7 linked regions of the Xenopus tropicalis genome follow. The protein of the gene in region 2 purifies or fractionates together with the protein of the main gene of each other region. This does not show direct contact. Links are inferred from orthologs where the notes say so. Each region holds a gene or a part of one and is shown on either strand. Other genes may lie near its edges. The genes, in order: brix1, lin28a, ebna1bp2, sf3b2, pop1, kri1 and rpl31.

Region 1 (2,854 bases), on a different chromosome or scaffold from region 2:
TTCTATTGGGTGGGGCTGGCACAGTTTACAATTATCATGCTATTTCCTTTCTGTCTGCTGCCACTCGAGTATTGCCCCACTGTCTGTGCTAAGCAGGAAGGGAGAATGTAGAAAGATAGGTGGAAACTAAATGTGGGTTATGTAGTTCCTGCATGCTGTCTGTAAGCTGAGGAGAAATTATAATTTATAACATGAATGTTTTAGTCCCTTCTCCCCTGCCAGGATTTCAAATGATGCAGAAAGAGAGAAACTGTTTTGCAGCTAGATTTCAGCACATAAAAATGGTATTTATTCCTACTTTTTGAAGGCACAGATTGCAGTGGTTGAGAAGCTGGAGTTCCCCTTTAATACAGGGCCTGTCTGTACCATATGTCTCTCTCCTCTTCCTCTTTTATTCCCTTCCACTCAGTAAAATCATTTTTCGTTTCAGGCATTTGACCGGGACCCTCACTATGCTTTGCTGAAAGAGCTACTTACACAGGTACATTATATTATATGCTCATCTGTTTACTGTATGGGGGGGGGGGGGGGGGGGGTGTATAGTCTGTCCCCTAAATATCCTTTTGCTTGTCTCCTTATTCAGATTTTCGGAACCCCGAGATATCACCCTAGAAGCCAACCTTTTGTGGACCACGTGTTCACTTTCTCCATAGCCGACAACCGCATCTGGTTTAGGAATTATCAGGTGGGTAACGGGGGGGGTCAGTCTTGGGCGTCAGGGCTGGGCGAGAGACGCTTCCCATATTTCTGTTGTGTTATCTGTGTTAAAGCCATATATCATCCCAGAGAATCCATGTGTATATACATATATGTATGTGCTGCACATAAGTGGTACCAAACAGTTGTTAATTCAGTCAGTTTTCTCTGACTTGCTAAGCTTATATGCAGATGCAAAGCTGGTGGGATATAAGGGTCCCTGTTAGGAACTGTGCCCCATGTGACTCAATACTGTACTATAAAGAGAATGTTAGCCTTACAGTAAGACGAGGAGAAGCAGTCCTGTGAATGCAGGAGAGTAGATTAAATTCCCAGTGCTAGTCCCCAAATATTGCACATTGGTTTCAGGCAGATACATCAGCCTTAGTGTTTATTTTTTGCACCCTTCCCAGTGTGTGTACAATCAGAATAATAAGTTGTGTTGTTGTGTCTATCAGGTTATAGAAGAGGATGCAGCCCTGGTGGAAATTGGACCCCGTTTTGTCCTAAATCTCATTAAGATTTTCAAGGGAAGCTTCGGAGGGCCGACACTCTATGAGAACCCTCACTACCAGTCTCCAAACATGGTACGGTATTCACTGCCATCATGGCACACTGGTTGCTGGGACCTCCTTTATAGGCCTGTTATTTAGGCTTCTGCATTCTTACGAAACTGAGTCCCAGGAAAAGTTGCCAAATGATCAGTTAGTTAATTATAGACAGTGGCATAACTACTGTGAGAGGGTGGGGGCTGGGTGAGCCTATTCTGCTCTGCCCCCCCCAAAGATTTTTATCTTTTTTCTACAGGGGGGCCGGTGCAGAGTAGACTCAAGCTCACATATTAATCCCCACTCTCCGCCCACATGTCTACCTGAGAGACCGCATGGAGCGGTGATTTATATGCAGCAATGAAGCAGACCCTGCTGTCCGGGTTGTTATGCCGCTGAATATAGGATTAATCAGAACATCCAAATGAACCTGCAGGTCCAAAAAGAGTAGGAAGGGTTCAAGCTGCGTGGTGCTAATCGTTCCATCACCATCTAGAGCCCGTTCCAGAACTAGTGGATTCTCTTCTTGTAGGCAAATCTAGAACAAGTTATTTGAGCTGAGGGGTTTTGGTACCCTCGTATTCTGGTAACAGCTGGTATAGCACATCTATATTGGGGGGGCTAAAATGAAGGGTCTGGTTTCTTGCAGTGCAGCTGGGAGAAGCTTGATTGTTCATCCATTATTAATGGAAGCTGTAGTTCGGCCCTGACTATTTTCCCCACTGTGTCGCGCTGAGCCCCCTTTAGCTAATGAAAATCCTATGTGTTCCATTTGAAGCACCGGCGAATGATCCGAATGGCGACAGCAGCCAAGGTGAAAGAGAAGCAGCAGGTAAAGGAGCTGCAGAAGATGAAGAAGGAGGAAGACAGACCGGTTATCCCTGCCGATCCCACAGAGTCTGTGTTCTATACTCCAGCTGAGGAGAAACCTCAGACCATTGAGACGGAGCCACCGGCACCCAAGCCCAAGGTGAAGAGGAAAGACAAGCAGTTCAAAAGGCAGAGAATGGCTAAGAAACGCATGTGATGTTTGGGGGGCCGGGTATTGGGGGAGGGGGTATTAGCACGGGGTATGGCTGTTTTGTATATTAAACCTTATCCTAAAAGCTATTCTGCTGCTGTATGGGTGCTTTTCATTCTTTATTCTTAATGTAGATTTAGGTCATAAACAGGCGGCTGGCTTGTGGGGCATTTTATTTAACGCAGAAAACACTGTATGTTCCCATAGATGGATGGAGCCAACTAAACTAAGTAACCAATGATAATATATTGCCTGGCACAAGCATATCTGGCTCCTCCGCCAGCACCAGCGCTTTGTATCCGGATTCAGCAGTTAGCGTTCAGATTCCCAATGCACCTTCATGATTAATGACCCAAACAGAAGGCAATGACGCTCTTGGCAAAACAATGTTTTTATACTGAAATAAATACAAAATCTTGCATGATCTAGCATGATCTGGGGCACAGCAGTAGAAAGATATACATTTGGAGTAGGAAAGACTTATCTGGATATCCTGGCTACTTGTTGCCTTTCCTTGCTTTGCAGTCCAAGTCTCATAATCCCACTTTATTCCCAGTAGGAGATGTTCAGATATTCTGCATTCCTTGCT
Region 2 (3,500 bases):
GGACAGGATGTTTATGTATCACCCTTTTTACCCTTTGGACTTCATCCTACTCCAAACACACTGAATCATATCTTCTTGTTGGTGCAGGATGCCTTATCTCAGTCCATATCATTTAGACACTGTAGATATTAGGATAGGAAATGCATCTGACTTGGTGGGAGGGTGTCTCTGGCCAGGATAGAGACCTTTTGATGTTGGAATGTTAGTTACTGCAGTAAGGAAATTGTACCTTCTGGGCAATAAAGTTGGATATTGTCTGTATGCCACCCACATATGTGAATCCTGGGAGTGCCTGGCCTGGGTCAGCAAAAGGTTAACAACTGTAGAGCCCATTGCCTGGAGTATATCCTTATTCATTCATTTACTTCCCTGCTGGGCATCCTGCCTACTTTATTCTGCTGGCAATTATATTTATTCATATGCAAGGTTTACGTAAAGGATGACAGTAGGGGGCCACCAAAGAAAACATCCCACCACTAGAATGAAATGTTTCGCATGAGAATACAATCCACTTTCCAAATAATGACTCAGTCTCTGGTTTCCCGTAAAGGAGCAAAAGAAGGAATGAATAAGGTTAATGCGAGATGGACTTAAGCAGGCAGAAAAAAACCCTCCACTGTACATCTGACACAAATCTCTAAAAACAGACGTTAAATACACACCTAATGCTATTCTCACAACATTGCCTCAAAACCAAAAATGCTACCTAGAAATGGAGGACAGAAGCACGTATATTGTTCTATATTTATCCCTGAAGCCAACTGTGCATCCTGAACTACACGTTTTAATAGCATGGCTGTAAATACGGAGATACAGACACTCATTTAGAATCATACATTCTAACCACCAGATAATCTCAGATTAAATATGACAGATATACTTCTTTTTTTATAATTACCTGATGAACAAAAACATCCACTGGGGTCTCAAGATCAGTTCCCTCCTTCTTGGTCATAGTTAGGAATCCAAAACCCATTCGGACATTAAACCACTTGCATACTCCAGATCCTTGAAATATCAGAGATTCATCACTTTTGTGTATATCTGCTGTTTCATCCAAAGATTTTGGAAGCCCTCCTGTATATAGAACATACAACCAGTTAACTATATAAATGTAATTTATCTACACAGTGAATGATCTGCATGCTGTTAATAGACAATAGGCTAGATTTAATTTGATGAGAAAAACTGATTTACTAATTCAATGCCAGATTTTCTTGATACTTGATAAACTGTAAAATAAAATGTTCTCATGGAACCTAATCTGGCCCAGTATGACAAGCAATAGTAAAATGCACATAGGACAGCAGGTTGTAAGCTACAGTGGAAGAGGAAGTGCTTGTAGCACAATAAATTGCTACCCAATACATGAATATTTTTTTTTTGAGTATATTTTATTCTCATTGAATCTGGCCCATTATTTCCCTGGTTTATGAGAACTGTAAAGTACGAGTTTTTACATTATTAAAGGATACCTATTACAAACCAATTGTTGCACTAGTAAAGGTTTTTTTTTCTTAACCCAGATTGCAATTTAAATATTACACACTACTAGTGTATTTCTAGCATACTATAAAAAGCGGTGTGCCCATTAATCTCATTTCCCATTGTTATATATGTTTGCGATATACGCTTGTGACTTCTATTACTTTATCCCCAATTGCTCATGGTATACATGGTATTTTTGCTACTGCACCCATTAATATTTTTCAGAAATAAAACTCTTTAAAATTGCCCATACTGTGGTTTTAATGCAATTTTTCAGCAATAACAGCATTGGACAATTACTGGTGTTTTGATGCTACTTTTTAAGCAGGACAAAATGCACTGAACAAATTGTCAAAAAATCTTGAACTAAATCTTTCAAGGATGCTGAAAACATTCCCAATGTGAAGTCAGTGTCATAGGCAGTGTGTTTGGGGATATTTACTGTAGCATTTAGAATTTCAATTTACAGTAAATGAGGCTACAGAAATGCAATTTACCTTAAGATAAACCCAAAACTAAACTATAATTAAAACTAAACTTTTCATAACAAAAGGATCCTGAACACTTAGGCTAAGGTCATATGTGGCTTTTTCTGCTCCACCATAAATACTCCAGCAGAGAGTACACCAATCCACTGTAATACACCCTTTGTTCCAGCAGCACTGCCACTTATGGCATCCACCTATCACTGCTAACACTGAGTAAGCAGGTGGATGCCATATGTATCAGTTCTACTGCAATTAGGGCTGATGGCAGTAGACTGGCACTTTCTCTGCTGACTTATTTATCCTGGCAGAGAAAAGACCACATGTAATATTAGCCTATGATCAACCAATGACAGCAGGGAAATTGAACATTATACTTCCCAACATTTCAATATAAAAAAATGTGGACAATGCTCATATGCGCTAGTCATGCTCAGTTACATGAAGATGTGCCCCTGATCTGCTCCAAACCACACCCACTTTTCAGAAAGTTGTGCTATTTTTACAGCCCTGTGTTTTTGGGCTATCTTTCCATTTGTGTTATACTTGTACAAAATTATTTGCAAGTCAGTCCTGCTGCAACTACTTAGCTTTCCTTAAAGGCCCACAATAACTTTTAGAGTGAAGACACATGAAGCTACTTAGTAGGCCAGGAAATACCCTGCCATAGACAATGAGATAGACAATGCCTCTGCTAAAACACACGTAAAGACAATTATCAGCAAATGATCAGCATTTACTATTTTTGTAACCATGACAAGTAGTTGCTACTAGTAGCTCTGTGTGTCTTCGCCCTAAGGGCTCTGGTACACGGGGAGATTAGTCGCCCGCGGCAAAACTCCCTGCTTGCGGGCGACTAATCTCCCCGAGTTGCCTTCCCCCTGCCATCCCACCGGCGAACATGTAAGTCACCGGCGGGATGGCAGACGCGGCGGCGCGATTTCGCGCAAATCGCCGAAAAAGACTCGAGGCTTTTTCGGCGATTTTCCGAAATCTCCTGTGGGAGAGGTTTTTTCATCGCAACCGCGACTATCGTATTTTGCGCGACTATTCCGTCGCCGTTGCGATTTTTTCGTATTGAACGATTGTAAACAGTGGTAAAACCAATCTGATTTTTCCGCAACTAAAAAGTTGCGGAAAATATACGAAAAAGTCGCAACGGCGACGGAAAAGTCGCGGAACATACGAAAAAGTCGCTACGGCGACGAAAAAGTCACAAAAATACCTATAATTACTAAAAAAACACATTTGGACGCCTTCAGACCGTTCGTGCCAGCTTTCAGCCAGCTATCAGTCAGCAACAACAAGCACCATACACAGACCAATAAGCTGCTGGCATTGGTCAATTTTAATGTTGCACACAGGTGTTTCGACCACCTCTGCAGTCACCTATATGTAGCCTGACTTGGGTCCCTAGAAGTTTTTAAGATACAGCTTTAATCTTTCTAAAATATATAATCAAGAATTTTCGTAGTTGCAGTTTAAGGCTGATGCCACACGTGGCGTTTTTTTACACTGTGTATTTTC
Region 3 (4,061 bases), on a different chromosome or scaffold from region 2:
TAACAACAGTGGAGTAGATTATTTTTTATAATGCAAAAGTTTCATGAGTCATGTGGCACAAATTACATCACTAAGGACTGATTATAACCAATGACATTAATAAGCACTGTTTATACAGTGAATTACACACCCCCTGTTGTGAAATATAAGTAATTTATAAGTCATGGCTCTTATTTATTATAAAGATTTATTTTACAGGATGATCATAGAAATTGTGCATTATAACCTACTTCTGAAGAGCCACACTGAGCTTCAGATTAAGTAAATTGTATGCCAGTATTTTGTGCTATTGCTTGATAGGAGATACGATAATATTAGATACTGATCCAAACAAAATAATTGTACAAGCCTAAGAAGATTTGTTATTCATGTAAGTACAGTGGCTATTTAGAATGGCAGAGAAAATCGACAAGGGCCATTTCTATTATAATGTGCTCAATGTTCAAATAAACTTTATGATTGTAATTGTGTATGCGCAGCCCCTCCAAACCGCCCCTTGACGGGACCGGCACATAGACTGCACTTTACTTCTCAGTAACATATCGGTTATTCTATGGAATCAGGATAATATGACTCGGCTCAGTGTGTCACATATTACCAAAGTTGGACTGTGTGTGGCAGGATTAAGCAATATTTTCAAATAAGACTTGGTACTTGGACAGAACAACCTTTATACATAAAAAATACTATTATATATTTGACAACACCTTTGAATAGTCCTATAAGACAAATGTAAAGGAGAGGTTAAGAAATGGTGGGATTTGTGCACCTATCAGGTTAGTCAGTAAAATATACAAGCCATTAGCCCGTAGATTCATACTGTACCTCTCGGTGCGCTCAGAACTCGCTGTATATGACTGTTGCCATGGATACAGGGACGCTCCACATGTTAGAGACTTGGCCGATTGGAATGACGGGTAATGTAGTCTCCCAGTATCATGGAGGGAGACTTCCGTCTTTCTAAAGACTGGTCCCAATTTAGAAGTTCCCGGCCCCTACCCCATTTCTGTGTAGTGTTTCTCCCAACACAAATATTCATGTGGTACGGTTTAATACTGAAGTGGTAGCACAAGTAATACATATTTCAAACAGAGTCAGTGGTTTGTTTATGAACTGAGCCACTCGGAAATTACTTCTACGCTGCTAACTTATTGACACTTCAGGCGCACTGGACGTCGGGATTTGTAGTTGTAACTTGCACACGTGACACCCTCGTACAATTCCTTTCGTCACCGGAAAGAGGGAGGAAGGCGATATCCGGGTGGCAACACGTGAAGTTTGCCTGGAGGTAGGTGTCTGTCTAGTGTTGGTTCGGATATTGGGTCTCTTTCCATGTGTATATAATCTGTATGTTTAATGTGTACATCCCCTTGAAAGTACAGCAGTGTTGGCTATTATAGTGCTTTATAAATCCCTCTTAACAATAAAGACAGGGTGGAAATATAGCCTCGGCTGGGGGAGATGTATGTATGTATGTATGTATGTATGTATGATCGATCAGATTTTTGCAACATACGAATGTACAGATACTATCCGCTGCAGTTGCTTTTGCTAAACACAAATTGAAAGATTCTAATAATTACAAAATTCTGTCAATCCTTGTGTAACAGTTGCACAGAATACTTGCTGTAGATTGCAATCTGATTTTGTTTAAATTAAATGCATTTGTTGCGGCCCTCCTGAAAATGGCCATACACGTAGCGATTTTCAACCTTTCACGCGACCATTGGTTGCACGAAAGATCGTTCCCACCCTCCACTTAGATTTGAATCCCGAATGGGAAAAATTCGGATTGGAAACGAAAAAAGATTGCAAATATCATGAAAATGCTTACGAGAAAATCGTATTAGTCACGATAATATCGTATTGGCGATCCGAAAGTCCCGAAATTTTTGTACTGAACGATTGTAAACAGCGGCAAAGCCGATCTGATTTGTTTGCGAAAGCGCTGAAAAAATAGCGCAAGGTACGAAAAAGTTGCGGAAAATATGATTGGACCGATTGAACAAACGCTCGGAGCGTTCGTGGATAAGTAAATATGCCCCATAGTGTTTGACACTAATAGCGGTGAAGATGTTTAAAGAATTGCTGGTAAATCATATTTTTGATAAATTGTGGCTAATAAAATAAATTGCTGCAAAATTTAATTTTTGCACAAATTAAGATTTGATTTTTACTGTGAACTGTTTGAACATTCAAGGTAACCATGTTAGCCCATGAAGATAGTTCTCCAGAATCAGATTCTGACTTTGATGCCTCAGAGTTGACAGATAAAGAGGTGAGTTCATGATTATTTTTTTTTATAAATTTCTTAAAAAATAAAAGGCTGTTTATGATTGCAAGGTAAGGAACCTTTCATTGAAACAAGAGAATATCACTGCCCACTCTCATCCTTTCTCTTATCACTGATCTATGCACAAGCATTTTAGGTGGCAGGCTCCCCACTGGTGCATGAGCTTCTACACTAGCCTACACTGCTGTAGTCACAAGAGCTAACGTCACAGCAAGTATTGTGGAAGCATAAGCAGATTTCCAAGAAGTATGCTTCCTAAAAGCAGTAGCCAGGAGGGAGCATTAAAGAGCAACAAGCAGCAGGTTATCGCTAATCAAGCTAAAAGTTTGTTTAAAAACAAATATAGCAGTTTGGAGTGGGCCCTTTAGGGGTCATGGTGGATGATCTGTTACATTTTGGTTTAGTGGTTGACTTCTCTTTTAAAGGAGAACTAAAGATGTAACCTAGAAATGTTGTAAATTATGTTTTGGGCGTCTGTACCAGCCCAAGGCAACCACAGCCCTTTAGCAGGGAAGATCTGTGCCGTCAAAATGCCCCAGTAGCTTCCATCTTCTTTTCTGCTGATTCACTGCACATGCTCTGTGCTGCTGTCAGTTACTGAGCTTAGGGACCAACTTACAATATACTGTATATATAGAATATAAATATCACAATATAAGGCTGATTAGTAATTAACACAGATTATTACTGCATGGCAGCTCTGAAACCAGTGCCATTAGCATCAGACTTTAATGATCAGCCCATTAGTATAAGCTTATATGACAAACAACATCAACAGCTGCTCAGAGTGCACTGAGCATGTGAGTGTTGCAGACACTTCTAACAGAAGTGTCTGGTATGGTCACCACCTGTGACAAATTTAAAGGACTGAATTATTACTACTTTAGAGATGTTGAACCTTTAGGCTGGTTCAATAAGTTCATTATATAAAATATGGCATGTCTAGCCATATTCATTTTTAGGGTTTAGTTCTCCTTTAAACACAGGTGCCCATTCACGGGCCACTACTGGCTACTGATTTAGTCTTTCTTGACTTTCTGCCAGAGAATCAGCCTGTGGTAAAAGTAACTTTTTCCAATCAATATTTGTTCAGGGTCATGCACATATGAATTAACTTGGGAGAGAAATCATGTTGGCCAAGACTTAATCTATCTGCATTGAGCATTGCACATTTGCCCTAGTCAGTTGCAGATTCTTTAAGACTTGGTAAAAGCAATGGTCTTCTCTGCTTTGATCATAACAGGTTGAAGCCTTTATAGAATTATGGTAAAAGATGAGGGTCAACAAAGCAGAGTAAAGCACTCTTCACTTTTAAGTAATAATATGGACTGTTATATAAGGTTTAATAGCTATAAGTTGGGTATATTAAACAAACAATAGAGGCATTCAATGTTAATATACAACACTGTAATAAATATGGCACTGTTAATAACTCAGGGAAAACTAGTGGAAATTATCCTGGAAGCCATGGATCTTCATGAGCTGTAGCGCAGCTGGGAATGGAAATCTTTCAATTTGTTCTCCATCAAATCAAACTTAACTGCTGTTTGGTACTGGGTTCCAGCAGTGGTGTAGTTTAGCACTTATACTGGTAAATGAACCTATATCTTTTCTGTAGTGAATTGCCTTGTACCCTGTGATAATCAAGTGTATTTTACAATATCATTAATTGTTTACTTCTGTTACAGTTGCAGGAAGCATTTTCTCAGGGGAAACTAAAGCCTGGATTAAATGTGATCTTAGAAGGAAAGAAGAAACCTTTCAATGA
Region 4 (3,500 bases), on a different chromosome or scaffold from region 2:
GACAACTTCCCATACAGTTTCTCAATAGCCCCGAGTCAGAACATAAAATACATTTTCTCTAATTGCCTCTTGCTCCTAGTAAGGAAGCAGAGAGAATATACCAAATCTAGTACTGAATATAAAACCTGGGCTTCACATGAAGATGAACCAAAATCCAGGGGTCACAGTGTTCTTTTCTCTTCTCCAACCCTGCTATATCTCTCCAATGGGACACAGCAGCATTTGTATTAAAGACTTCAAAATTTGGTTTCATTAAGTATGGTGTTGTGATACTACCTGACATAATAAAAATATCCCTGGAACCCTGTGGCTAACAAATCACTCAGTTTTGCACATAAAGACTTGCAGAATCATTTGCGAGACTGATACTTAAATAAATGACACATTTTTGAGTCTGATCATTTAGGACAGGAAATACATTTTTACCTTTGGCTGCAGTGAAAGAGTTGGACCTTGTGACTGCTTTACCCCATCAGTGTCAGTAGTTATGCGAGGAGGCAAACCTATTGGAAAACCTCTTCCGAGACCAGGAGGTGGGGGAGGAGCCTGAAGTGTGGGTAGAGGCATCCCAGCCATCTATAAAAAGGACAAGAAAGCACTTATTTAGGGTGAATAAGACAAATAGAATTAGTATGGTCAGGCAGAGTAGACTGAGTAACAGAAAAAAAAAGACTCAATAAGCAAGAAGGCAAAGTTTATAAAAAGTAAAAATACTGTTTTATTTGATCCTAATTTAGCCAGCACACCCACCTGTGCCAATCTAACAGCAGTAGAGGATATTTCAGCATCATCTCGAACCTAAAATAAAAGAAAACATAGATACAATAAAGCTTTTATATAAAACAGGGTTATCTGCAAAAGAAACTATGTCTGGCCCACTGATCTGTGCAAATAGGGTTCTTTACTCAACAGGAAGGAATCATATTAGCATTTTCAAATCACTTGACCAGCACATTCAAATACCTATCTCAGTATAAACAAAAAATCAAAGATGCCCACTCACTGAAGATTGCCTTGCCCATGAGAAAAATAATGGATTTTGCTAAAGTAAACGTATGAAAAGGGTTTTTCATAGAGATTTCATAGAGAGCTTTTGCTTAAAATTTGAATGAAGCAAAGCAGAAAAAGCTGGGTTCTGGTGATCCTAAAGACTTAAAGGCTCATTTACTAACATAGTTGCTAAATTACACAAAAATGCAGTTGCCAACAGCAAACAATCAGCAAATAACTTGAAAATGAAAGCAAAGACATGACTGGTTGCTATCAGTACCTACACTAATGTAATCTAGCACCCATGTGTGTAAAGCCCATAACTGTATGGGAGTTATGGGACTTCTTAGTAAAGCTATTGCCACATGGGACTGATTCTTTTCATGTGTATAAACACTGCCTGAGAATCAACTGATCCTCTATCCTCTTGCTCCTTGGTGTACTTAGTGCCTGTGAGTGCAAACACAGAGTGGATTATAAATGCCCTGTTATTGGGTCAGTTAACCAGTCTGTAAAGTGAAAATTAAAAAAAGGGGTAAGGATTGACTGTAAGACATTCCAGACAAATATATAGTAACACACAGTAAATTACCTGTGGAGAAGCAAGATCCATAATATCCTCTCTGCTTCCTGTGGGAAAGAGACATTATTAATAAGATGTACTAGTAACTCAATATTACATAGAATACACTTTCTGAAAAGTACTATGCTCTACAATTTAAGGAGGAAATATCCTTCATAATACTTCACAGGAATAACACCTTCCAGCAAAAGACCTTGTGGAGAATAATTATTTACAAACACTTTCTTTTTAATAAAGTATACTGTAACCACTCAGGAAATATACAAGAGGCTGATTCTATATCCAGCCTTACCACATGATACCTTTGCATCCCTTCTGTACTCCTTGCCAGTCAACATGTGGTCATTGCTGCCTTTTATATCACAAAAAGGTGCTGTGAAATGTTGCCAACAAGTTTTCAGTTTTCCAGTTGTTAAGTTCTATATCATTGTGTATCTCTGGTCCTAAGAATGTCATTATAAAAATACTTAAACTAATAACAGAAAACTAGAAGAAAATCCCCTAGCCCTGATATGGAGTTACACAAAGCATAATCAGATTTCAATTCCAACTCTCATAAAGGACAGGGTTTTGGAAAAGAAAATTCTAAGGAAAAAGTTCACCCTGTTTCTAGAATGGTCTTGATAGAGGCAGGTTTGAGACCAGCAATACAGCTGATGAAAAAATTGCTGTAGTTTTCTGGCAACACACATAGTCTAATGTGATGGTGCACAAATTTCTACCTACCCCTGTTAAATTAATTTGTCATATAGGGCAGTGCTGTCCAACTGGCGGCCCGCGACCCCCCTCTGTGTGAGTAAGCATTAAATGGTATCAGTACTGAGATTAACTGGCCCCCTGCATGGTTCTCACCTCAGATTCAGGCTGTAATCCCTCTGTATTGTTTAAAAATGTAGTTCCCTGTGTTTTTCACACCTTTTAATACCTGCATTGTTCACCCCCAGCAGTGTTCACACCTCAGGCTCAGACTGTAATCACTCCAATTGTTTACTTCTTCACACCTCAGACATAGGTACTGTAGGCAGAGTATGGCACATACAGCCAGCATAGGGCAGGTAGAGTATGGCACATACAGTCACGGTAGGGCAGGCAGAGTATGGCATACACAGGCAGGGTAGGGCAGGCAGAGTATGGCACACACAGTCAGGGTAGGGCAGGCAGAGTATGGCACACACAGTCAGGGTAGGGCAGGCAGGAAATGGCACACACAGGAAGGGTAGGGCAGGCAGAGTATGGCACACACAGTCAGGGTAGGGCAGGCAGAGTATGGCACACACAGTCAGGGTAGGGCAGGCAGAGTACGGCACACACAGTCAGGGTAGGGCAGGCAGAGTATGGCACACACAGTCAGGGTAGGGCAGGCAGAGTATGGCACACACAGTCAGGGTAGGGCAGGCAGAGTATGGCACACAGAGGCAGCATAGGGAAGGCAGAGTATGGCACACACAGGCAGGGTATGGCACACACAGAAAGCATAGGACAGGCAGAGTGCTGCCTGTGTGTGCCATACTCTGCTTGCCCTATGCTGCTTGTGGGAGGTGAACCTGGCAGGGGTTTGTTGTGGGAGTTTGTTAGCAGTTGGAAATAGCCATTAAATCGTTCCTAAGGTGTGTAATTATGTACTGGGGGTTGCTCTGCTATCCACAGGGGAGGAGGAGGCATATGGAATTTAAGGGTATATCTTAATATGACATAATTCTTTCACATATGAATGATGGTTGATATCCCCACAGTAAGGACCAAGCATTTGGGATTTTGCTGTGCTACCACCATTGTGATAAAATAGGTGTGGTTTGAAGTGGGTGTGGTTTCAAAAAGGGGAGTGGTCAAAACTGGCTACAATTAGCGGCCCTCCACCATGTATGCTAGAGAAATTCCGGCCCTCGGCACCGTAGAAGTTGGACAGCACTGATATAGGGGAATGCTA
Region 5 (3,500 bases), on a different chromosome or scaffold from region 2:
TATGCTGGCAATACACGCACCGATACTATCATACGAAACCTCGTTTCGTATGATATTCGGTGCGTGTATGGCATGTTGGCGAGTCGACCGATATCGCAGGAAGCTGCTGATATCGGACGACTTGCCGATCGGCCAGGTTAGAAAATTTTGATCGGGCGCCATAGAAGGCGCCTGACCAAAATCTGCCGTCAGGGCTGAATCGGCAGAAGGAGGTAGAAATCCTATTGTTTCTACCTCCTTATCTGCTGTTTCAGCCCTGACGGTGTGTGGCGGATCTGACGATGTTTCGTGCGACCTATGGTCGAACGAAACATCGTCAGATCGCCACGTGTATGGCCAGCTTTACTCTGCAGAAAACCTGTTTACTGATATCTTTAAATGGGTAGTTCACCTTTGAGTTTACATTATACTAAAGAGTGATATTCTGAGACAATTTGTAATAGGATTTTATTTATTTATTTTTCTAATGATTTCACTTTTTGCTCAGCAGCTCTATAGCATGATATTTTTGCAGTTATCTTGTTGCTAGGGTTTACATTTCTTTAGCAACCAGGCAGTGGTTTGAATGAGAGACTGACATTTATAGAAGAGGGCCTGAATAGAAAAATTAACAATAACAATAAAATTGTAGTCTTATAATTTTGGCTGCTGGGGTCAGTGACCCCCATTTGAAAGTTGGAAAATGTCTAAAGGCAGCGACACCTAATTTATATGTATAAAAAAAATAATTAATGAAGACCAACTGAAAAGTTCCTTAGAAATAACCATTCTATAACATACTAAAATGTAACTGAAAGGTGAATACAACCCCTTTAAAGCAGAGGAATGGCCTCATAAAGGGTCTCAAAGCAGCGGATGGGTGTGCTAGGGGAGAGCAAATACTCCTTGCCGATCTTAAGTTTGCAAATATAGCTATAACCTTGCTTTAAGCTAAGGGGGTGAACCACAAAAGGGGCATGAACCCACAATTTTTGCCAACAGATAAAAAGGGGTAAAAATGTAGCTCTCTCATATGTAGTTATTAATAAAGCTGTATGTAAAATCTGGTGGGGGGTTAAGGGCAAACAATGGGAGCAGCCCTATTTTATAATGGGGCTTTCAATTATCCAAGCTGAAAATATCCGGTATTAGAAGTAAGTTGAAGGCTAAACAGAGCTCCCCTGCATTTATTTGTTGAGTAGCAAATAGCTCACTCACAGATGCTTGTGTTGTTTTGCAGAGACCTATATTTTGCTTCAGTATGATAGGTATTCCAGCTTATCCCACTCTGCTTTGTAGCACAGAGAAATAGTTGGCTGATACAAGAAATCCTATAACAGAGAAGCTGAGAGGGTACCTTGCAGCAGCTGAAACATGGATTCCTGAAGGGTATGGAGTCTGACATTCTCAGGGTTACTGCAGTAATCTGCCCACCAGGTATGAGGCCCTGCATCACTTTCAGTTTCCTAGGAATAAGGCTGTACATTAGACTTGATTTCAACAGGAAAATACAGGTTAACTTTAACAGGATTGGCCAATTTTACAGCCTCTGTTTAAGTGGCAATAACTTTAAGGAACTAGGTGGTGCAGTGGGACAGTTTATGGAAAGTTAACATTTTTCTGCTGTACAAAGCAGAGTCGTACAGCATGTACAGCTTTAGAGCTCCAGGTATTCCTGGAGGCAACTAAATATAATAAACCTGTATAAAAGTAAAATTATATATCAAAGTTAATCAAAGTACCATTCTTTTAGCTGCCACATTATGGAAGCATAGTAGTTAGGTAACCCTGTCACATACAAAACAAATAAGAAATCCTCAGCTTGCCTTATGAAGTGGAGCAGAACGCAAAGCTTCAGTCAGCACACTGTGAGAGAGAGGGCCAGTCAGTCGATAGCGCACAAATTCCATAGTCAGATCACTAGGAGAAGAGATTAAGCCGATTTTATGTAATGAATAGGATAACTCAAATACACCACATGCATTGGTGCTATGAAAAGTCTCTGCTGCAAACAAATATACATTGGCCAATTCACTGTTGCAAAGTATGGACTACAGAAGGACCTGAAGAACATGCAACATTAGAATGCAGAAGTTGTAAAAGGGAAACCTGAAAAAGTGTTTGGAAGGTGATCTTACAATCACCATTTTGGCCATAGTAATCACCTTTTAAAGCACATTTGTTTAGGGCTTATACTATTCATGTGCTGGCCTCAACTTGGATTTAAAATAGTCCCTGGCTTTGCAAGGACACAGAGGCCCAAACAGCCCCACCAGCCCAATAAATAGTGACTGTCTATGGCATCTTACAGCAGCCCCTCTGGCATTTGCCAGAACCCACAGACCCACAGTCCATATGCCACTGTCTAACATTTCAGAGCAGCAGAAAGAACAGGCATATGCCACAAGCCTTATACATACCTAATTCTGATGGCTGTATGCTTTGATGTCCAGTAATATGGATCCAGAGAATCCCTAGTCCCATCGCCAATGATTCTTTTCACAGGTACTGCCTGTTCCCCTTCCTGATCTTTCCGCTTCCGCTTTTTCGCTGTAGTTTTAGGGGTAGTTTGTGGTTTTGCAGGTTGTGGAGCAATAACAGGCTCGGGCTTGCAGACAGCAATGTCAGGAGCTTCCTCACACTGACAAACTTGTCTTAATTCTCTCAGTATGTCCTATCAGACATGTATATGGAGTTTATTCCAATTTCATAAAAAACATGGCAGGCTTAAACAAAAAAACTGCAGTAAGAAACTAAAATCAATAGCAGTAATTTAGCCTAAGCCCAGGTTCAAATTGAGATTTGCCAGTATAAAATAATGAAACGGTCACTTACCTGTTTGAGAGTAGGGTGACACCATATCCACAACTGCCTTTTTTCAGATGGAGAATCAGGGACACAGGCTGGTTTCCAGAGAAATGTAACAGAACCGAGAGCTTCTTTGGGGTATTTATCAGCTCTATACAGGACCAAGGATCCTTGGCGCTTTCCAGAGAGACACAAGGCAGCAGCAAAAGATGGGCCTGAGGATCAAAATTATAGAGTACATCTGGGCTACATAGATCGAGACTGATATATCCTACAATTTCCCACAGTTATAATCTATAAATGAATGGTCAGGCACCATCTCTCCCTACTATAACTGCTATCCCACAGCTACAGTCCCTTCCCAGAGGCTATTATCCCCCCACTGCTACTATAGGCACAATCTCTCCCTACTATACCTGCTATCCCACAGCCACAGTCCCTTCCCAGAGGCTATTATCCCCCCACTGCTACTATAGGCACCATCTCTCCCTACTATACCTGCTATCCCACAGCCACAGCCCCTTCCCAGAGGCTATTATCCCCCCACTGCTACTAAAGGCACCATCTCTCCCTACTATACCTGCTGTCCCACAGCCACAGTCCTTCCCAGAGGCTATTACCCCACTGCTACTATAGGCACCATCTCTCCCTACTATACCTGCTGTCCCACAGCCACAGCCCCTTCCCAGAGGCTATTATCCCCCCACTGCTAC
Region 6 (3,500 bases), on a different chromosome or scaffold from region 2:
TCCAATCGGCTCCCTGGGCGATAATGTGTCTGTATGTGGTTTTCTGGGTGCCGTTCTGCAGGAGTTGGTCACTGGCGCTTCTGAAGGGGACACATTTAACCCTCAATTCTATGGTTCCTTTGCAGCTTCCGGACGTTTGTGGAGGACAGTGACAACGAGGACGGAGAGGGAACGGCGGGGAATTTATTGACGAGACGAATAAAGACCAAGAAGGAGCAGGTTGGTGGTGGTTAAGGAACTCTCTCTCCCCAGCCTTCCATTAGTGTCCTGCCTATTGCTGTTTATTTATCTCAGTAGTTCAGCTGGATTGTCTGACTATTGGTCTGTGTGTAGGTGAGGCTGCAAGCCTATTGGCCAATAGGAATTTCTCACAATGCCTAAGCTATCCTAAGTACAGCCATCTTTACCCCGTGCTTAATGTGGGGCCCATTAACATGTAATGTTTGGTTGTTACAGGAGGAGGAGGAAGAGGAATACATTGCCTGGCTGAAGGGCCAGAAGGAAATCCATGATAAAGGGGAAGTAAAGGAGATGGTGAGTGGCTGGGATAATGCTTCATAATAATAATAATGTCCTCTCTGTCATCCTGAAATGGTTTCACTCACTGCAACTTTCCTTTCTGTTCCATTAGGGGTTCCTAAAGGAATATTGGTCTGACCCGGCTCTGGATGAGGGGGAGAAATTCCTGCGGGATTATATACTCAACAAGGAGTATCTGGAGGAGAAGGAGGACTCTGAGGAGGATGAGGAATGGTAAGGTTTATATCATTATACATCTAAATACATAATATAAGTATATAATATTGATTAACTTGCCCCCTTCTCCCTGCGTAGCCCCCCAGCCCTAGAAGAGGCCCCACATGTGTCAGATTCAGAGGACGAGGGGGAACTTTTCCTGAAGAAACAAGAAGATTTTGAGAGAAAATACAATTTTAGATTTGAGGAGCCGGATTCTGATTTGGTTAGTTATACAGTTTGAGCGACAGACCTGAGCATTTGTGATTGGCTGAGTGCTCATGTGACCCATCTGTCTGTCTGTATTTTAAGATGGAATGAGCAGCTGCGGGGCTGCTTGGGGGACCCCCCCATCCCCGTTGCCATGGGATTCTGGGGCTCTGATAGTTTTCTCTCTCTGTTCCCAGGTTAAGACTTTCCCCAGAACCATCGCACAGTCGGTGAGACGCAAGGACGACCGGAGGAAGACTAAGAGGGAGGAGACCAAAGAGAGGAAAATGAAGGTGGGTGGGAGAAAAGGGCGGCAGCGATACAGGGTGCAGGGAGAGCAGGAAGAATAAGGGTGAACTGCAGGCATCCCTGCCTCCCAGCATTCTCTCTGGGCCTAATACTGACGTCTGGCCAAGCAGGGTGGGAGTTGGCGACAAGCACAGGCAGAGTACATAGGTTTATTAATGGCGCCACTGCAATCTGTTCTGCAGGAGAAAGAGAGGAAACAGGAGGAGCTGAAGCAGCTGAAGAACCTGAAGAAGAAGGAGGTGCTGGGGCGGCTGCAGAAGCTGCGGGAGTTGGCAGGAGAGAAGTCCTTGGACGTCACAGAGGACGACCTGCTGGAGGATTTTGATCCGGAGAAACATGATCTCATTATGCAAGTGAGACTGCTGGGTCCCTCTGTCTGTCCTGTGTGGGACTGGCGCTGCCTGTACTGTATGGGGGGGGGGGGTGGGACTGGCGCTGCCTGTACTGTATAGGGGGTGGGACTGGTGCTGTCTGTACTGTATAGGGGGTGGGACTGGTGCTGTCTGTACTGTATAGGGGGTGGGACTGGTGCTGTCTGTACTGTATAGGGGGTGGGACTGGCGCTGTCTGTACTGTATAGGGGGTGGGACTGGCGCTGCCTGTACTGTATAGGGGGTGGGACTGGCGCTGCCTGTACTGTATGGGGGGGGGGTGGGACTGGCGCTGCCTGTACTGTATGGGGGGGGGTGGGACTGGTGCTGTCTGTACTGTATAGGGGGTGGGACTGGCGCTGTCTGTACTGTATAGGGGGTGGGACTGGCGCTGCCTGTACTGTATGGGGGGGGGGGGGTGGGACTGGCGCTGTCTGTACTGTATGGGGGGGGGGGTGGGACTGGCGCTGCCTGTACTGTATGGGGGGGGGGGGTGGGACTGGCGCTGCCTGTACTGTATAGGGGGTGGGACTGGTGCTGTCTGTACTGTATAGGGGGTGGGACTGGCGCTGTCTGTACTGTATAGGGGGTGGGACTGGCGCTGCCTGTACTGTATGGGGGGGGGGGTGGGACTGGCGCTGCCTGTACTGTATGGGGGGGGGGGGTGGGACTGGCGCTGCCTGTACTGTATAGGGGGTGGGACTGGCGCTGCCTGTACTGTATAGGGGGTGGACTGGCGCTGCCTGTACTGTATAGGGGGTGGGACTGGCGCTGTCTGTACTGTATAGGGGGTGGGACTGGCGCTGTCTGTACTGTATAGGGGGTGGGACTGGCGCTGCCTGTACTGTATGGGGGGGGGGGGGGGGGGGGACTGGCGCTGCCTGTACTGTATGGGGGGGGGGGACTGGCGCTGCCTGTACTGTATGGGGGGGGGGGGACTGGCGCTGCCTGTACTGTATGGGGGGGGGGGGGGGGACTGGCGCTGCCTGTACTGTATGGGGGGGGGGGACTGGCGCTGCCTGTACTGTATGGGGGGGGGGGGACTGGCGCTGCCTGTACTGTATGGGGGGGGGGACTGGCGCTGCCTGTACTGTATGGGGGGGGGGACTGGCGCTGCCTGTACTGTATAGGGGGGGGGGGACTGGCGCTGCCTGTACTGTATAGGGGGGGGGGGGACTGGCGCTGCCTGTACTGTATAGGGGGGGGGGACTGGCGCTGCCTGTACTGTATAGGGGGGGGGGGACTGGCGCTTAGGGGGGCCTGTACTGTATAGGGGGGGGGGGGACTGGCGCTGCCTGTACTGTATAGGGGGGGGGGGACTGGCGCTGCCTGTAGTGTATAGGGGGGGGGGGACTGGCGCTGCCTGTAGTGTATAGGGGGGGGGGGACTGGGCGCTGCCTGTAGTGTATAGGGGGTGGGACTGGCGCTGCCTGTAGTGTATAGGGGGTGGGACTGGCGCTGCCTGTAGTGTATAGGGGGTGGGACTGGCGCTGCCTGTAGTGTATAGGGGGTGGGACTGGCGCTGCCTGTAGTGTATAGGGGGTGGGACTGCGCTGCCTGTAGTGTATAGGGGGTGGGACTGGCGCTGCCTGTAGTGTATAGGGGGTGGGACTGGCGCTGCCTGTAGTGTATAGGGGGTGGGACTGGCGCTGCCTGTAGTGTATAGGGGGTGGGACTGGCGCTGCCTGTAGTGTATAGGGGGTGGGACTGGCGCTGCCTGTAGTGTATAGGGGGTGGGACTGGCGCTGCCTGTAGTGTATAGGGGGTGGGACTGGCGCTGCCTGTAGTGTATAGGGGGTGGGACTGGCGCTGCCTGTACTGTATAGGGGGTGGGACTGGCGCTGCCTGTACTGTACCGGCGCTGTGCATGCATGG
Region 7 (4,114 bases), about 33 Mb from region 2:
TTAAAGATGTATACGGAAAAATTTGCCTCTACTTAACCTGTAGCAATAAGTTTTCTCCTCAATACATTTAAGTGCTAAAACTTTTTCAGGGAATTGATGGTGTGTTCTTTCTTGCAAACCACCTTTGTTTTCTGCTTTATAGTAAAGGATATAGGTAGATAGCCCACTGAAAATTTTGGGTGCCTTGTCTTTGGTGTACTATATTGGGCTTGCAACAGCCAAGAAGCACTGCTGCCTACAAGCAATTGGTGTGCAGAAGCCTGATTGTGCTGCTTTATCTTGAAAAGCTATGGAAGGTTACAGTACCGTATATACTCGAGTATAAGCCGATCCGAATATAAGCCGAGGTACCTAATTTTACCTAAGAAAACTGGAAAAACTTATTGACTCGAGTATAAGCCTAGGGTGAGAAATACAGCAGCTACTGCTAAGTTTCAATAATCAAAATAAATACCAATAAAATGACATTAAATGAGTGGGGTATATGTTTTTAAATATTTATTTAAACGCAAAGAATTAAAATCCTTCAAAACTATATATAGTTTATATAGAATATAAAGTGCAATGTGTAGTGCAGAATGGGACAGGTGATGATGGCAGATGAAGATGAATTTGGGAGCAGCCAGGGCACTGGAGGGTCTGGTTGCGGGGGGCCTCATTTGCACACAAAGGACAGCGGGTGCTAGTCTGGAGGGGCCCATGGCACCCAACTCAAGTATAAGCCGAGGGTGACTTTTTTGGCACATTTTTGGTGCTGAAAAACTAGGCTTATACTCGAGTATATACAGTATATGTAAGGTTTTATATCCAAGACTCACCTGATTCCTTTGGCCCAAACAGCTTTGTTCAGTCTGGTATCAATACGAACATCAGGAGTACGCATTTCTTTCACTGCAAACTTCCTGATCTCTTTAAGAGCCCTAGGTGCACGCTTTTTGAACCCACTAAAAAAAAAAATGTATTAATAAAAGTTTCTATTAGAGGGAAAAAAAGTGGTTAATTGTTTGGCAACAATGGCAAAAATACCCTACCCAATACAAAACACTGTGAATATTTTACTTAAGCAGAAAGATAAGCTAAGTAGTAAATAAACAGTAACTGCTTATATAAATATTTCATGTTGTAGGAATTCTACATAAACTATAAAACCTATACAAGACAAACAATCTTTAATAGCTTGAATGAACTATAGATGCAAAAACTGATCTTTTAAAGAGACATGCTATTTATAATTGTGCCTTAAAAGTATTTGCCTGATGCTTTTACATTCCCTATCAGATCCCCATGTTCCTGTATGAGGAGGCTGCCATATTTGTGTAGCAGGAGTCTGTTAGCATTAGAAGCTATAACTGACAGGCTGAGAAGGGACAGTCAGATTTAGGAACTTCAAGTAACAATTACTCACAAAAGCAGCCCTATCTGCAAAAAATGATCATCATGACCTATAGGTAACTTTTAATGTGCATTATTTTTAAGGTGAAACACACACAGCAATTCTGATCTTTCGTGCAACCATTGGTCACACAAAAGATCGTTCTCATCCTCCACAGACGTTCAGCGCTGAATCGTCAGATATGTTGATAAAAACAATATAATCTCTACCTTGACCTGGCGATTCTGCCCTGAATGTAGATTTTGCTTGGGTGCCTTCAATGGTTCCCAATCAAAACCTTTCAACCTGGCCAATGGACTGATATCGATCGCCTCTTCGAGCCGCCATACACGTACCGAATATCATACGAAACTAGGTTTTGCACAATTATATGGCTGTGTGTATGGCCGGGTTTAGTGTCAGTATCACTTTAAGCTGACAAAAACCCTAACTATATGGGGCACAAGTGAAAAAAACCCTTAAATAGTTTTATTCCGTGAAAATCCACTACTGTTAATGTTAAAGACCAGCGCGGTGAGCCAGTACATCCAAGCAAACTTTTTATAGAAAATCAAGGACACTCACATTCCATGGATCCTTTTGTGAATATTGATGGTGTATTCTCTAGTGACCACCTCATTGATGGCAGAGCGGCCCTTTTTCTTCTCACCACCCTTCTTTGCTGGTGCCATTTCTTTGGAAAGAGAAAAACAACAGACGTGTGACAAAGATGAAACCTTTATGTAGGTTCTGCATTCTAAACGCAGGAAAACATGGCAAAATGTTGGAAAGGGCAGAGATTGTACTGGATTTATGGGGATACCGTGGTGAGTTTTATTCAATTCAAGCCTCAGCCACACTTTCCGGCCACTCAGTGACAAGGAAGCCGACACAGTTACAGTACTACCGAGTGGCTACTGCTGCAATACTCATATGAAGAATACATTCGGCTTATGTCATGATTTCTATAGCCGGCAACATACATAGTACAAATCACATTCTTAAAAACTAAATGTCTCTAACAGAGACGTCCACCATCCCCACGTCGCTAGGGTGATGCGATTACTGAAAACCTACCCCCCCCCCCCTCTCAATTGCGATATGAAATAAAGGCCCAGAAATGCCCGCAGTGATTCATTAGTACTGTAATGGTATGGGCTTAGCTGATATATCTGCATTAATGCCATAGATCCTAATGTCGCTAACATCTGGAACGCGGCCTTAATCTCCCGGGTAAGATAATACACAAAACGCATCTTATTTCCTATTTAGCTCCAGATAATGACATTAAGTTGTCGCCCCGAGTCTCACAGACAAGCCCGGGAACAACCGAAGGTATCCGATGGAGACAGAGCGAGGATGGTTACAGATAGAATTAGAGCAGTTACATTCGCCCGTACTCACTCAACCAGGGACTATGTCGGAAAGGAAGTAGAAAAGGATTGTGGGAGTGAAGTAAACTCCAACCCCGTGAATGCGTTTCCGGGTCGACGTAATGACGTCCGCTACGTTCTGAGAATCGTATGCGGAAAAGGGGTTGCTATAGTTACAAGCAGCTTGCTATAGATTTAGCGTCCGTAACTGTGTTTAGCGAGAAAAGCTATAAGGAAACAGAAGCGCAGAAAGCAAGTGCTAGGCACTGTAATGAGGCTTTTCTGCATAACGTACAGTTTATGTATCTTAAGTGTATGCGTTTTATAATGCCACAGTATATCAATGCTGATGTGTCAGGCGATTCATTTATTAATAGTTTGGAACTAGAATTTTGTTTTCCATTATGGGGAGTTTTTAATAAGTCGTCTTCATTATATAACCCATGATAAATATGTCATCTGGTTTTTGGTTTAAGGTAGTGCTGTCCAACTGGAGGGCTGCATGTGGCCCACGACACCCCAGTGTGTGCCCCCCCCCACCTGTCTGGCTGCTTTGATGGCTTCCCTTTGTGTAAACTGCCCCCCCTGCATGGTTTACACCTCAGATTCAGGCTGTAATTCCCCTGTATTGTTTAAACATGTAATCCCCTATAGTGTTCACACATTTTAATCTTTACAAGGTACACACCTTCGGCTCAGACTGTAAGCATACCTCCCAACATTTGAACAATGAAAAGAGGGACAAAAAGATTTGGCGTGTGCAGTGCTGCAATTTTTTGACCACGCCCACTTTTATGGCCACGCAAATTACCACACCCCATCCTTTTTTTTCCAAAAAATACTCCTTTATATAGTTGAAATGGTGAGATCAGATGCAAATTGTGCCATACCCTCATACTGTACTACCTAAGGAAAACAATATAGCAACTCCTACATATAAAACACAAATATAGAGAGAAGGCAGTCAGTTATAAGTGAGTTATAACTGTACCAGTTTTGCACCCCCATACACAGTGCCCCCAGTGGTCCAATAGACAGTACCCCCCATACACAGTGCCCCCCATAGAAATTGCCCCCATAGACAGTACCCCCCATAGAAAGTGCCCCAATAGACAGTACCCCCCCAAAGAAAGTGCCCCCAATTGCCCCCATAGACAGTACCCCCCATACACAGTGCCCCCATAGAAAGTACCCCCCATACACAGTGCCCCCATAGAAAGTACCCCCATACACAACGCCCCCATAGTAAGTGCCCCCAATTGAGACAATACCCCCATACACAGTGCCCCCCCCATACACACTCCTTCAGCTGCTCCTCTCGTTATGTGGCTTCTTATATGGTGGTGACAGGCCCTTTTAAGTGCACATA

What was found.
Region 1: the proteins of lin28a (region 2) and brix1 purify together in Homo sapiens (affinity purification with mass spectrometry; 3 studies listed by BioGRID and IntAct, with this or other methods). This does not show direct contact. The link is inferred for Xenopus tropicalis from reciprocal best matches to the Homo sapiens genes LIN28A and BRIX1.
Region 3: the proteins of lin28a (region 2) and ebna1bp2 purify together in Homo sapiens (affinity purification with mass spectrometry; 3 studies listed by BioGRID and IntAct, with this or other methods). This does not show direct contact. The link is inferred for Xenopus tropicalis from reciprocal best matches to the Homo sapiens genes LIN28A and EBNA1BP2.
Region 4: the proteins of lin28a (region 2) and sf3b2 purify together in Homo sapiens (affinity purification with mass spectrometry; 3 studies listed by BioGRID and IntAct, with this or other methods). This does not show direct contact. The link is inferred for Xenopus tropicalis from reciprocal best matches to the Homo sapiens genes LIN28A and SF3B2.
Region 5: the proteins of lin28a (region 2) and pop1 purify together in Homo sapiens (affinity purification with mass spectrometry; 3 studies listed by BioGRID and IntAct, with this or other methods). This does not show direct contact. The link is inferred for Xenopus tropicalis from reciprocal best matches to the Homo sapiens genes LIN28A and POP1.
Region 6: the proteins of lin28a (region 2) and kri1 purify together in Homo sapiens (affinity purification with mass spectrometry; 3 studies listed by BioGRID and IntAct, with this or other methods). This does not show direct contact. The link is inferred for Xenopus tropicalis from reciprocal best matches to the Homo sapiens genes LIN28A and KRI1.
Region 7: the proteins of lin28a (region 2) and rpl31 purify together in Homo sapiens (affinity purification with mass spectrometry; 3 studies listed by BioGRID and IntAct, with this or other methods). This does not show direct contact. The link is inferred for Xenopus tropicalis from reciprocal best matches to the Homo sapiens genes LIN28A and RPL31.

The regions. Positions count from the first base shown.
Region 1 is NC_030677.2:199,190,419-199,193,272, forward strand, and holds the end of brix1 (ribosome biogenesis protein BRX1 homolog), read left to right. Parts: intron 1-430; coding exon 431-481; intron 482-583; coding exon 584-685; intron 686-1,154; coding exon 1,155-1,283; intron 1,284-2,022; coding exon 2,023-2,271; 3' UTR 2,272-2,354; downstream 2,355-2,854. UniProt on the Homo sapiens protein: Required for biogenesis of the 60S ribosomal subunit.
Region 2 is NC_030678.2:77,459,091-77,462,590, reverse strand, and holds part of lin28a (protein lin-28 homolog A), read right to left. Parts: intron 1,078-3,500; coding exon 899-1,077; intron 1-898. UniProt on the Homo sapiens protein: RNA-binding protein that inhibits processing of pre-let-7 miRNAs and regulates translation of mRNAs that control developmental timing, pluripotency and metabolism.
Region 3 is NC_030680.2:88,304,899-88,308,959, reverse strand, and holds the start of ebna1bp2 (EBNA1 binding protein 2), read left to right. Parts: upstream 1-1,261; 5' UTR 1,262-1,288; intron 1,289-2,200; 5' UTR 2,201-2,206; coding exon 2,207-2,278; intron 2,279-3,981; coding exon 3,982-4,061. UniProt on the Homo sapiens protein: Required for the processing of the 27S pre-rRNA.
Region 4 is NC_030680.2:40,092,282-40,095,781, forward strand, and holds part of sf3b2 (splicing factor 3B subunit 2), read right to left. Parts: intron 1,621-3,500; coding exon 1,583-1,620; intron 799-1,582; coding exon 751-798; intron 577-750; coding exon 427-576; intron 1-426. UniProt on the Homo sapiens protein: Component of the 17S U2 SnRNP complex of the spliceosome, a large ribonucleoprotein complex that removes introns from transcribed pre-mRNAs.
Region 5 is NC_030682.2:129,320,696-129,324,195, forward strand, and holds part of pop1 (ribonucleases P/MRP protein subunit POP1), read right to left. Parts: intron 3,003-3,500; coding exon 2,815-3,002; intron 2,654-2,814; coding exon 2,400-2,653; intron 1,900-2,399; coding exon 1,806-1,899; intron 1,446-1,805; coding exon 1,337-1,445; intron 1-1,336. UniProt on the Homo sapiens protein: Component of ribonuclease P, a ribonucleoprotein complex that generates mature tRNA molecules by cleaving their 5'-ends. Also a component of the MRP ribonuclease complex, which cleaves pre-rRNA sequences.
Region 6 is NC_030679.2:138,188,439-138,191,938, reverse strand, and holds part of kri1 (protein KRI1 homolog), read left to right. Parts: intron 1-125; coding exon 126-219; intron 220-456; coding exon 457-534; intron 535-631; coding exon 632-753; intron 754-834; coding exon 835-961; intron 962-1,142; coding exon 1,143-1,238; intron 1,239-1,436; coding exon 1,437-1,607; intron 1,608-3,500.
Region 7 is NC_030678.2:110,303,131-110,307,244, reverse strand, and holds the start of rpl31 (60S ribosomal protein L31), read right to left. Parts: upstream 2,801-4,114; 5' UTR 2,777-2,800; exon of another isoform or gene 2,773-2,776; intron 2,067-2,772; 5' UTR 2,065-2,066; coding exon 1,958-2,064; intron 945-1,957; coding exon 819-944; exon of another isoform or gene 789-818; intron 303-788; exon of another isoform or gene 213-302; intron 1-212.